3 linked regions of the Stegostoma tigrinum genome follow. The protein of the gene in region 1 purifies or fractionates together with the protein of each later gene. This does not show direct contact. Links are inferred from orthologs where the notes say so. Each region holds a gene or a part of one and is shown in the gene's direction. Other genes may lie near its edges.

The links.
Region 2: the proteins of C-X-C chemokine receptor type 4-like (region 1) and E3 ubiquitin-protein ligase Itchy-like purify together in Homo sapiens (affinity purification with western blotting; 5 studies listed by BioGRID and IntAct, with this or other methods). This does not show direct contact. The link is inferred for Stegostoma tigrinum from reciprocal best matches to the Homo sapiens genes CXCR4 and ITCH.
Region 3: the proteins of C-X-C chemokine receptor type 4-like (region 1) and CSC1-like protein 2 purify together in Homo sapiens (co-immunoprecipitation; 3 studies listed by BioGRID and IntAct, with this or other methods). This does not show direct contact. The link is inferred for Stegostoma tigrinum from reciprocal best matches to the Homo sapiens genes CXCR4 and TMEM63B.

The regions. Positions count from the first base shown.
Region 1 is NC_081360.1:73,291,470-73,295,220, reverse strand, and holds the start of C-X-C chemokine receptor type 4-like, read left to right. Parts: upstream 1-1,226; 5' UTR 1,227-1,332; coding exon 1,333-1,362; intron 1,363-2,998; coding exon 2,999-3,751.
Region 2 is NC_081372.1:11,190,748-11,194,498, forward strand, and holds the start of E3 ubiquitin-protein ligase Itchy-like, read left to right. Parts: upstream 1-862; 5' UTR 863-976; intron 977-3,751. UniProt on the Homo sapiens protein: Acts as an Acts as an E3 ubiquitin-protein ligase which accepts ubiquitin from an E2 ubiquitin-conjugating enzyme in the form of a thioester and then directly transfers the ubiquitin to targeted substrates.
Region 3 is NC_081357.1:11,099,058-11,102,808, reverse strand, and holds the start of CSC1-like protein 2, read left to right. Parts: upstream 1-881; 5' UTR 882-958; exon of another isoform or gene 959-1,180; intron 1,181-3,751. UniProt on the Homo sapiens protein: Mechanosensitive cation channel with low conductance and high activation threshold. Osmosensitive cation channel preferentially activated by hypotonic stress.

The DNA.
Region 1 (3,751 bases):
ACTGTTGTTAGTGTGGCCATATTCATGGCCCATCCTTAATTATCTTGAGAACTCGTTGGGGCCTTCTTGAGGATACTGATGTGCTTCAAATATTTTCAACCCAAAAATGATGAAGAAATGATTTACCTGGAAGGAAAAGAAAACAAATTTAGCCAATTGAAAAATGAAAGATAACATTACAAAACAGAAATGCAAAAGCAAAGTATAAGAAGGAATAAGTGATGGACAAATTGTTGTGCAGACAAGATTTCCCATTTTCTCTTTCCAGAGACAACATTCAGTGCCTCAGACAGCTACCCTATGAAGAACATTAGTTGGGCTAGTTATACAATCAATTGTTCACAGAAAGTTCACCAGAATGATCCATGGTATGGAGGGATTGACTAATGATCAAAGGTCAAATAGATTCAGGCTCCACTCGCTGGAGTTTAGAAGAATGAGAGGTGATCTCATTGAAACATGTGGATTCTTAAGGGGTGTGATGGGTTAAATGCTGAGAGGATAATACCCCTCATGGGAGAGCCTACACCAGAGGGAATGGTCCCAGAATAAAGGGGGAGTGCAATTTAAGACCGAGATGAGGAGGAATTCCTTGTCTCAGAGGGTTGAGAGTGTTTGGAACTCCCTGCCACAGACAGATGTGGGACACAATCCTTGTCAACAACAAAAACAAAGTTGCTGGAAGGGTCATCGGACCCAAAACAGATGCTGCCAGACCAGCAGAGCTTTTCCAGCAACTTTGTTTTTGTTCCTGATTAACAGCATCCGCAGTTCTTTTGGTTTTTATTACAGAAGTAATCTAATCTAATCCTTGTGTATGTTTAAGGCTGAGATAGATTTTTGATCAATGGGGAATTCGGGTTGGGGGTGGGGAGGGCTTGAAAAATGTATGATCAACCATGATGCTATTGAATGGGGATGGACAGGCACTTGGGATGAACAGCTTACTCCTGTTCCTATTTCTTGTGGTCTTATGGCCTAATAGCAATACTTTCACAAAAGCAAATTTTCACTAAAGTCATTGAATATTATCACCTAGTGTGCATTCTGTATAACGGATGCTATAAAATAACAGTTGCTTCCAACGTTTCCGCAGCAGTTAGGCAGCGGTGGTTGTAAATGCCCCTTATTCTTTGGGTTTGTTTTTGAATTCATTATTCAAACTAGTTTCCTTTGGTCGAGCTAAGAAATTACGATTCTCGCTGTGCGCATGCGCAGGTCCAAGTGGCACTTAAGTTTGGAAACTTCATACAATATCTTCATACTTAGAGAACGCTACAAGAAGTGAACTTCCGCCAGTATAACGGTCAGGGCTGTTGGAAATCGTGCAGAATGACTGAAGATTCAGAGTTCGATGAAATGGTAAGAGAAGGTTTAATCAATATCTAAATGTTCCTTTAAGTATTTTTATGTTTGTAAATACTTGTACATTATGAAACAAAATTAAAAATCATTTGTACTTAAAGAGATGATGTTTTATTTACAAAATATACTTTTAAGTGTTGCAAATGCACTTATGTATAGTTTGTAGATGAATTTATCTGAGTAAAGTGTGCAGCTTACAGTTTACCTATGGTAGTTGTGTGCGAAGCAAGAATGAACACAATCATTTTAACACTTTTAGATATTGAAGATATCACTGAAAAGCCAATTGGAGTTTTATGGGTTTTGTTTTTAATGCTTCCAGTTCGAAATTAAACTCTCCAAATTGTGATCATTTAGTGAAACCGGCTGCAGGGGAAGAAAGTTGAAAAGGCATTTTACATTGCTGATCTGATTTAGCCTCGAGTATCTGGTTAGGGGTTTTCATGTTACCGCGTCTGGTATTCCGATTTGCTGTTTGAAACCAGCGCGGTTTAGATTCTTGAGCTTTGGAACTAAGAAATCACAGGAGGTAGAAAGTTTAAAATAACAGCGTTCAACCACAGTTTTTCCGAGTTAAAAGGCATGCTTCATTGATGCCAATGAATAGATCCGTTCGCATTCGTCTCTTCCACATAGAGGAAGCACCTATACCTCCAGGTGACCTGGTCTCGCAGGTATATTTAACTCGGGGCATATACATTTGGCACATGCCGATATTGTTGAAAGAGGTCACTCATGCTGCAACTGTCATGCATGGGGAACAGCTAACCCAGTAATAACAAACAAATCTCCTCAGACTTCTGCTGGACTTTACTAACGACTCAGGGAAACTTCAGCGCGTGGGGTGAAATACCTGAGAAAGAAAACGTTGAAGTGGTTAACAAGTGGCAGTTAAAATTTCGGTGCCAAGTAGCAAGGAGCAGAATAGCATAGAACTGAGCGCTGTTTGAACACAATTACTGCAAGCATGAGTCCCACGTGAGTGAACCCCAACCTCCCTTCCCCCGCTCCCCACCCCAGCAACTAGGAGTCAGTCCTGCTTTGTGATGAGAAATCGTCACTGTGACTTCCTTTGTAAAAATCCCCCGCTGTTCCATTAAAAAGTGAAACACGCACTCAAGGCAGCGCTGCGCTTCCCAAACCCAATCTGCCTCTCGGTGAATTTTCAGCGTATTTTGTTTTCAGCACGCAGCGGGGTCCCAGACCCGGTGTGTCTCCTCACACGTGGACTGCCTAGAGTTGAACAATGCCGATGCTGGAAATCTGACTCAAAACCAGACGTTCCTGAAGAAACTCAGCAGGCCTGGCAAAATGGGACTGGAAACGCTAAGTGACTCTCTCCCTCTCGCCACAGACGCTGCGTTTTTCCAGCCATTTAGAGTTTACTTTTGACAGTTGTAACTCAATCCCGCAACAACAACCACACGGCTGGCCTTAGCCGTTAACAAGTTCAAAACTTGTGGCTGTCAGAAATTCTAACCCAAACAACCCAAAAGCCTGTTTCCTATTGGAAACTTCAGGGGTGGGTGGTAACCACGTGGTTCTGATGGTAATAAAAAGCCGAGGCTGAAAAAATATCGATTAAACTGACGGTTTGGGTGTTGGTTAATAAAGCTTGTTGTTTATTTTACAGTATTATCGCCTGGCTTATGATGCCAATTATCCCAATGACACTGACGCGTACAATTACACATATCCAGAGGGTGCCTTATGCGATGGAGAAAACGCGTACTTTAAAAGCATTTTCTTACCATGTGTCTACTCGCTGGTGTTTGTGCTGGGGGTGGTGGGCAATGGCCTGGTGGTGGTCATCATGGGCTACCATGGAAGAGTGCGCACCATGACGGACAAATACAGGCTGCACCTGTCGGTGGCGGATTTGCTGTTTGTCTTGACCCTGCCCTTCTGGTCTATCGACGCGAGCCTGAATTGGTACTTCGGAGACGCGATGTGCAAGATCGTGCACATCATCTACACCGTCAATTTGTACAGCAGCGTGTTAATTCTCGCCTTCATCAGCCTGGACCGCTACTATGCGGTGGTGCATGCGACCAACAGCACGGGACCGCGGAAGCTGCTGGCTGATCGGTTAGTCTATGTGGGCGTCTGGTTACCAGCCATTCTGCTCACCGTGCCCGACATGGTGTTTGCTAAAACGAGAAATCTCGACGACAGGGTGGTGTGTGAGCGCATTTACCCCGCAGACACGTACCAGTTCTGGATGATGAGTTTCCGAATCCAAGGCATCGCGGTGGGCTTCGTTCTGCCCGCCCTGGTCATCCTCATCTGCTACTGTATCATCATTTCCCGGCTGTCCCGTTCCACCGGCTTGCAGAAGCGCAAAGCCCTGAAAATCACCATCATCCTGATCGTCACCTTCTTCTGC
Region 2 (3,751 bases), on another chromosome or scaffold:
GCCAGGTCAGCATTTATAGCTCATCCCCTATTGCCTGGAGGACAGTTAAGTATCGACCACGTTGCTGTGGGTCTGAAATCATACGCAGTCCAGACCAGATGAAGATGGCAGCTTCCTTCTCTAAAGGACGTTAGTGAATTAGATTGGTTTTTCCTAAAAATTGGCCATGGTTTCACGGTCAGCATTCGACTCTAAAATCCAGACATTTTTTTGATTTCAAATTCCACCACCTGCCATGGCAGGATTCGCACCTGGGTTTGTATAAATTATCTTGGTTTCTGGGTGAATAGTCTAGCGATAATGCCGTTGCCTCCCTGGATTTGGAATTCGTACAGTTTTAAAAATAATTGGGAAGGTGCAGCAGTATGCTATGACAGTTTACTGAAAACAACAAGTGCTGGCGATCACAGCGGGTCAGATAGTAGCCACGAAGACAGGGCAAGTCTTCAGTTCTGATGAAGAGTCATCCAGACTTGTAACGTTAACTTGCTCTCTCTCCAAGGATATTGTGCTCATCCAGCTCCACACTCAGTTATACTATCTGACCCGCTGTCATTTCCAGTATGTGTTGTTTTCAGTACAGATTCCAGCATCTGCAGTAATTTGCTTCTGCTATGTTTGTACAGGCGCTCCCATCGAAGTAATGGAAGAACCTGCGGGTCTTCAGAACCATAACAGGGAACTGGTCCACGTGCGCCCTCTGCCCACCTTGGCAACATCGCCGGGGATGATTGACGTCCGCGCGGACCAATCGACGCGCACCGGCAAAGACAGGCGGTTTCCATGACGTCGGCGGCCAATGAGAGCGGGTCAAGAGGGCGGAGCCTGGATGACCCTGTGGGGGTGGAGGCAGAGTCCATCACGTGAGCAGGCGCTGCAAGATGGCGGCGGCGTTGGCGAAGGTGGGAGCGTTGAAGAAGAGCCCGCGGTTGTCTTTCTGAAGCGGGTCTGGCTGTTATCCGGGCCGGCTCCTCCAGTAAGAAAACTTTTTCGGTTTCCCGTTCTCGTTCGAACGTTTATGTGGCGGGGGTAAGGAAAGTGGCGGTTGGGAACTGCTCCCAGGCTGGGGTCTTTGGTTTTGGGGGGGGTTGCGGCGGATGGAGAGAGGGGGATGGGGTCGCCTAATGTCGTGGGAGAGCAGTCTGTCTCGCTCACTCGGCCTGCTCTGGTTTCACCCACTGGTTTCTCCCCGTCTGTCTGTTGAGGTAGGCCGCTTCACTGCCTATTTAAAAAGCTGGAGTGACCACGGACTTGCGTCGAGACGAGTCCTTGTTCTTTAATTTAAATTGCATTGTGGACACCCAAATGTGGGAAAGTTTCAGAGCGAGGAAACTTTAGGTCTCCCTTCTCTTGGAAGGACGGGCATTTCTAACACCCAGCCCCTGAACTAGTCTTCGTGCCAGGTTTAAAGGTCGGTTTGTAGTTCTACTCGGTCCACTTGCCCCTGCCCCCACCTCCCCAGATTCTAGGACACTATGATGATAGTTGTTTCAAGTCCTCCCTAGTTCCATTGGAGAGGTTAGTGTTCAAAGATCGGTGCTTTCTGCGCTTTGACTGCTCTGACGTACTGTTTATAAGTCTGTCTTGAGATTGGTGGAATGCTCTTAGGTGGTGGAGAATTTTTTTTGGTACTAATCCAACTGCTTTACTGTAACGTCATAAGACAAGGAGCAGGAGGTTGCCCGGCCAATTCGCCTATTGGCAAGATTGTGATTGATCTGATTATGGCCTTCACCCCCCCCCCCCTTTTCTGCCTGACACAGTAAATCCTAACTTCCTTATTGATCAGTGTAACTCAACCTTCAGAATATTCAATGATGATCAATTCTAGTCCCCCCCCGCCTCTGTGGGAAAGATGTTGTGAAATTTGAAAATGTTCAGAAAAGATTTAGATAATAGGTGCAGGAGTAGGCTATTCGGCCCTTTGAGCCAGTACCACCTTTGATTATGATCATGGCTGATCATCCACAATCAGTATCCTGTTCCTACCTTATCCCCAATTACAAGGATGTTGCCAGGATTAGAGGGTTTGAGCTATAGGCAAAGGCTGCAAAGACTGTGGCATTTTTCCTGGAATGTCGGAGGCTGAGGGGTGACCTTTATAGAGGTCTTTAAAATCATGAGAGGCGCGGATAAGGTGAATAGCCAAGATCTTTTCCCTGGGGTAGGAAAATCCAAAACTAGAGGGCAGAGTTGTAAAATGAGATGGGCAACACTTGAAGGGATTTAAGCAGCATCCTTTTCACACAGAAGGTGGTGTGTGTATGGAATGAGCTGCCAGAGGAAGCGATGGAGGCTGGTGCAATTACAACACTTAAAAGGCCAGGAGGGGTGCATGGATAAGAAAGGTTTAGCAGGATACAGGGCAAATAGGACTAGCTCAGTTTTGGATATCTGGTTGATTTAGACCAAATGGTCTGTTTCCATGTTGTGTAATGTTGGCTATATGATACAATCTCTGTGGAAGAGAATTCCAAAATCTGAACTCCCTCAGAGAAGAAATGCCTTTCCTTGTCTGAAATGGAAGATTGTTTGTTTATTTTTAAATGATGCTCCTAGTTCAGGATTTTATTGATGAGGGGAAACATCCTCTCAACATCAACCCTGTCAAATCCCTTCAGAATCTTGTAAATTCCAACAAGATTACTTCTCATTTTTCTAAATATCTATGAATATGTGCTCAACTGTTCCTCACAGGGCAAATTGTTTGATCCCCAAATCAGCCTAGTGTTTCTTCCCTGAACTACATCCGACACAAGTATGTCTCTTCTTAAGGTTGGAGTCCAAAGCTGTACACAGTAGTTGAAGTGTGGTCAAATCGATATTCTGTACAGCTCTAGCAAAATCTCCTGACTTTTACATTCCACTCCGGTTGCAATTAGTTAATATCAATTATTTATCTGATCATGAGGCACTGTATGATGTTTAACTATAAAAGAACTAAATAACTACACGTTGACACAGTAAACTGATGCTATCGTGCAGGTTTGGTTGACCTTTTAATGTATATCTTCACTTTACTGAAAGCAAAATTGAAGAAAATCTGACCTTTCACAAATGAACCAGCATTATGCAAGGTTACTGTTTCTGCTTTAGGCCAGTGTTTCGAGGTCAGCCTGCATTTGTGCGTTAGCTTTGCTTTTGTTATTTAGTTATGCTTTACAGTAGGAAAGCGAAACCCAGTACTTATATAGTATGTCTCATCCTCGCGTTGTTTCAAAATGCTTTATAGCCAATAAGTACCTTTTGCAACATAATTACTGGTTTGTAGACAGATGTGGCAGTCAATTTGAAAGGACCCAAATAACACACAAGATAAATAAAGTGTGGAGCTGGATGAACACAGCAGGCCAAGCAGTGTCTTAAGAGCACAAAAGCTGACATTTTGGGCCTAGACCTTTCATCAGAAAAGGGGGATGGAGAGAGGGGGAGGCAGATCGAACATGGAGAGGAGAGTAAAACTGCTTGATGTCCAAACATGAAGGTGGAGGCAGTGGCTTCAGGACATGGTCAAGCAGTTTCAAGGCCAAAGAGATTACAAGAGAGTTGTGGTGGAAAAGAGATCCCCTGAGGTTTGTCTGGAGGGAGGACGGTAACACCTTCATGTTTGGACAACAAGCAGTTTTACTCTCCTCTCCAACTATCTTCTCCTCTGTCCATCTTCAATCTGCCTCCCCCTGTCTCCCTATTTATTTCAGAATCCTCTCCCCATCCCCCTTTTCTGTGAAGGCTCTAGCCCAAAACGTTGTGT
Region 3 (3,751 bases), on another chromosome or scaffold:
TCCCCAAGTTTAACCACTGCTAGAATAAGTCAATATACTCCCATTCGTGATTCACTGCTGGCACCACTCAATCCACCAGCTCCTCTCAGCCTAAACAGTTTGTGCTCCTAAGAAGCTGCTTGGCGTGCTGTGTTCATCCAGCTCCACACTTTGTCATCTTGCTGGCACCAATCAATCCTTTACCTCCATCCTAATCTACGGCTGGCCCCAGACAAGTCATCACCCCTATCCTAATCTACCGCGGGCACCAGTCATTCCTCCATCTCAGCTCGCAGCCAGAGGGAATCCACAGAATTAGAATGAGTAGGCCCCGGGCCAAAAAAGTACGACAGGACCGAGGCGCAATGAAGCTTTTCGCTGTGTGTGTGAGAAAGAGAAGGAGACACTCACTGTAGATTAATAACATTATTTAGTTATATTAGATTATATAACAACATTACCAAAGAGGCGACGAACGACACCAGCCGAATCGATGACCTTCCGCGGCCCCGACCGAGCTTTGGGGGGTGGGGGGCACGTGCGGGGACCGCGCGGCGGTTTTGTGTCTTGTTTTTCAGACTGTCCGTTAGCTTCTGCAGCAAATGACAGGGAGCTGATCGCCGGCCCTCTGTGTTCGCACGGGTTCCGAGATGGGGGAGTCGTGTGCGTAAAGCGAGGCGGGGGCGGGGGGAGTTAGCGGGGCGGAAAAAGGAGAACGTAGAAATAATATTTTCTTGGAGAGCGGCGACAAAAGCGGACTGGCAATGGGTGCGGCCTGTGGGTGACGTAAGAGATGGCGCTGTCGCCCCCTCCCCGCCGCGACGCAAATTGGGGCGTGGTCTAACCTGGGCTCAGGCGGGGCTTGGCGTCACCATGCGAGGTCTCCTCCCTTTAGCGGCCGTCAATGGCGAGGGTGATGCTAACGCGAGGTTTCCGCCTCGTGACCGTCATTCCCTCCTCCCCTCTGGTCGATGGTGTGGTGAGTCTGACGGTTTTCTTTCTCCTGACCGGCAGCGACGCTTGTTTACCAGCTGCTTCGGAATTGAAAACTGGCAGTGGGTTTTGTTTCTTGTTTTGCTGGGGTAAAGTATTTAAAAAGCAAGTTTAATTCTGGGTGACCCTTTACATGGATCTGGGGTTTTAGGAGCGAGCGAAGTGAGGGCGGAGGTTGGTCGGTTGCTAAGGCTCGAGCTGTGTGCAGGTAAGGATTGGGCCCACCCCCTCCCATTGCAGGTTATCCTGCATTGGGCTTGTGGGAAAAGCCCCGGGCTCTAATTGAATGCAATGTGAAGCGACTTAAGTGGCACGCAGGCTCTCTCTGCGGTAATAGATGTTTTATTTCCCTAATTTGTGGAGTGATATGGATAGGTGGAGGGCGGGTAGTCGCTTTATTCTGTAGGAGAAAAAAATAGGAGCAGCTACTGATCTGATATGGTTCCTATCACCACCACCCCCCCCCAACGTTTAAACAATGAAAACCCGTTTTAAAACTTACTGTTTGCAATTGCAATTAACGACGTTTCCATTTAAAGGAATCCAAAACGTTAGCCATTTACGTGGTTTTCTTTAGTATTTATTTAAACGCTATAATTGGCCTCAACACGTTGTCACATCAGATATCTTTCATGCAATGTAAACGAGAGTAAAAGGGTGCTATTAATCATTTCGCAGTAATTGTCGGTTTTTAAAATCTGAAGGTATTTTGAGGTCGAAAACATCCTGCCTGAATGCTGGGGAGGAGAGAATTGAGTGCTTATTTGTTCCGAGGGGGGGGTGTCTCTGCTCACCACTGGTACCGGCCTTTGCTTTCGAAGCGGTGCATTCAAATCTTCGCAAAATGTGGAGAGTGTCATTTCGATTGTTCGAGACGTGTGATACCGTAAAGGTAAATATTAATTTACACGCATCGTGTTTGGCATCTTGTTCGTTTAGCGATTTTTGTTTTTTGTCCATTATCTCTTTGAAAAAAGCCGAAACTGGAAAAGCGCGGCCCGAAACGTTGACTTTTCTGCCCCTCTGATGCTGTCTGACCTGAGCTTTTCCAGCCCCGCACCTCGCATCTGCAGTCCTTCATGTCTCTCTGTATTAGCCAAATGTTTGCGCGGACTCATCTTGCTCTAGGGTTGTACTTATCGCTGATCGTACAATGTGGACAGTGGACGAAAAACTCGAAATCCAAATTAAAAATGAATGTATACGAGGAGTCAATAACAACTCGATTATAATCTACAGGGAAGTGCCGGTAGTAGGAAAGGTTCTTTGAAGCAGCCCTATTAAGCTTTGGTTTTGAGCACTTTTAGTCTCTACCAAATTATTTCAGTTTTCTCCTGTTTCTTCTCTTTGCGTGGTGCCCTTTTTCAAGCAGTTGTCTCAGACTAATGTAACAGCTTTAAATCCAAAGTCCATATAAATGAACTTTAAATTTTCAAAGGTGCCTCAGATGCCTTTATCAAACTTTATCATAATAGGGGGAAGTGAGACCAAATGAATGGAATATGTAAATACATTCCTCTCTGTCAATGATGAGTAACCCCCCCCACCCCCTCTCTGTCATCAAACAAGCCTCATTAACATCCTCAGCAAATGGATTAACTGCTTTCACTAACTTTCCCCCTCCACAACCCCGACCCTTGTGATCTCCTCCCATAATCTTTAAACGTTGCTCCTCAGTCGTCCTCCTTTAGTTGCCTGGCCATTCAACAACTTTTCACTCCCTCATGATCCCTGATATCTCATTCCTGCCTCTAAACCTACCCCATCCAGGCCACCCACCCTTCAATTGGACAGGCTGTGGCTGGGAAACTGAGTCAAACTGTTGATGGCTCTTGAGGATTTCCACTGAAGCATACAAAAACTTTAGTGATGTGTGTAGAGGAAGGTAAAGTCATCAGTAAGTGGCCATTACGTTTTTAGAATTATAATGAAAGAGATTAGCTGAACTCTCTTTATTGAAGTATATTCGCATGGACTGATTGTTAAATGTAATGTAAGGCAGAAATCAGTATGAGAGAGAAGTGAGTAAATATTTGAACCAAAGGGAGATGCAAAATCTTTGCAACAGAATAGGATTGGTGTGGCAGAGACATGATGTAAACATGATAGGTTATATCACCTCTTTCTAATTTGTAAATCTTGATGGTTTATGGTCCAATCCCAAGGCTGCAATAATGAAAGCAGAAATCAAATTTGTTCTCATATGATCTTGTACAGGCCTGATTCTGAATGAGCAGAACAGTACCTTGAGTCATGTTTTCCCTTTGGATGTGGACTTTGTATAAAATGTACAAGAGCTTTGTTATACATGTTTAATTTATTTAAAGTAGTGGTATCCTATTTAACACTCTGTTTTCTAGAGTTTTGCTTGACATGTTGCTTAATGTTTAAGTACACCTGTTCAAATACACCTGTTCAAATATGCGTTTTCATATGAAAACTATTTTAACAATGATAATTTCAGTTTAAAACTTGAGTTTTTAAATGAATCCGTGCCACAGTATATTTGAATGCTAAAAGATGGAAAGGTATGAAAGGAAATTGAAAGACCATAGATGTTGGAAGCCAGGGCCCATAAGCACCCTAGAGAAAAGATCTTTGCTATTCACCTTATGCCCCTTATGATTTTATAAACCTCCATAAAAAGGTCACCCTTCAATTTGCAGTCAAGATCTATATCTTATGCCAATGACCCGCAATCAGGTAATCTCCTTAGCCAATAACACGTGGAGCCAGACAAGCACGACTGTTCAGAAAGTATCTGAGGAGCAGGAAAGTC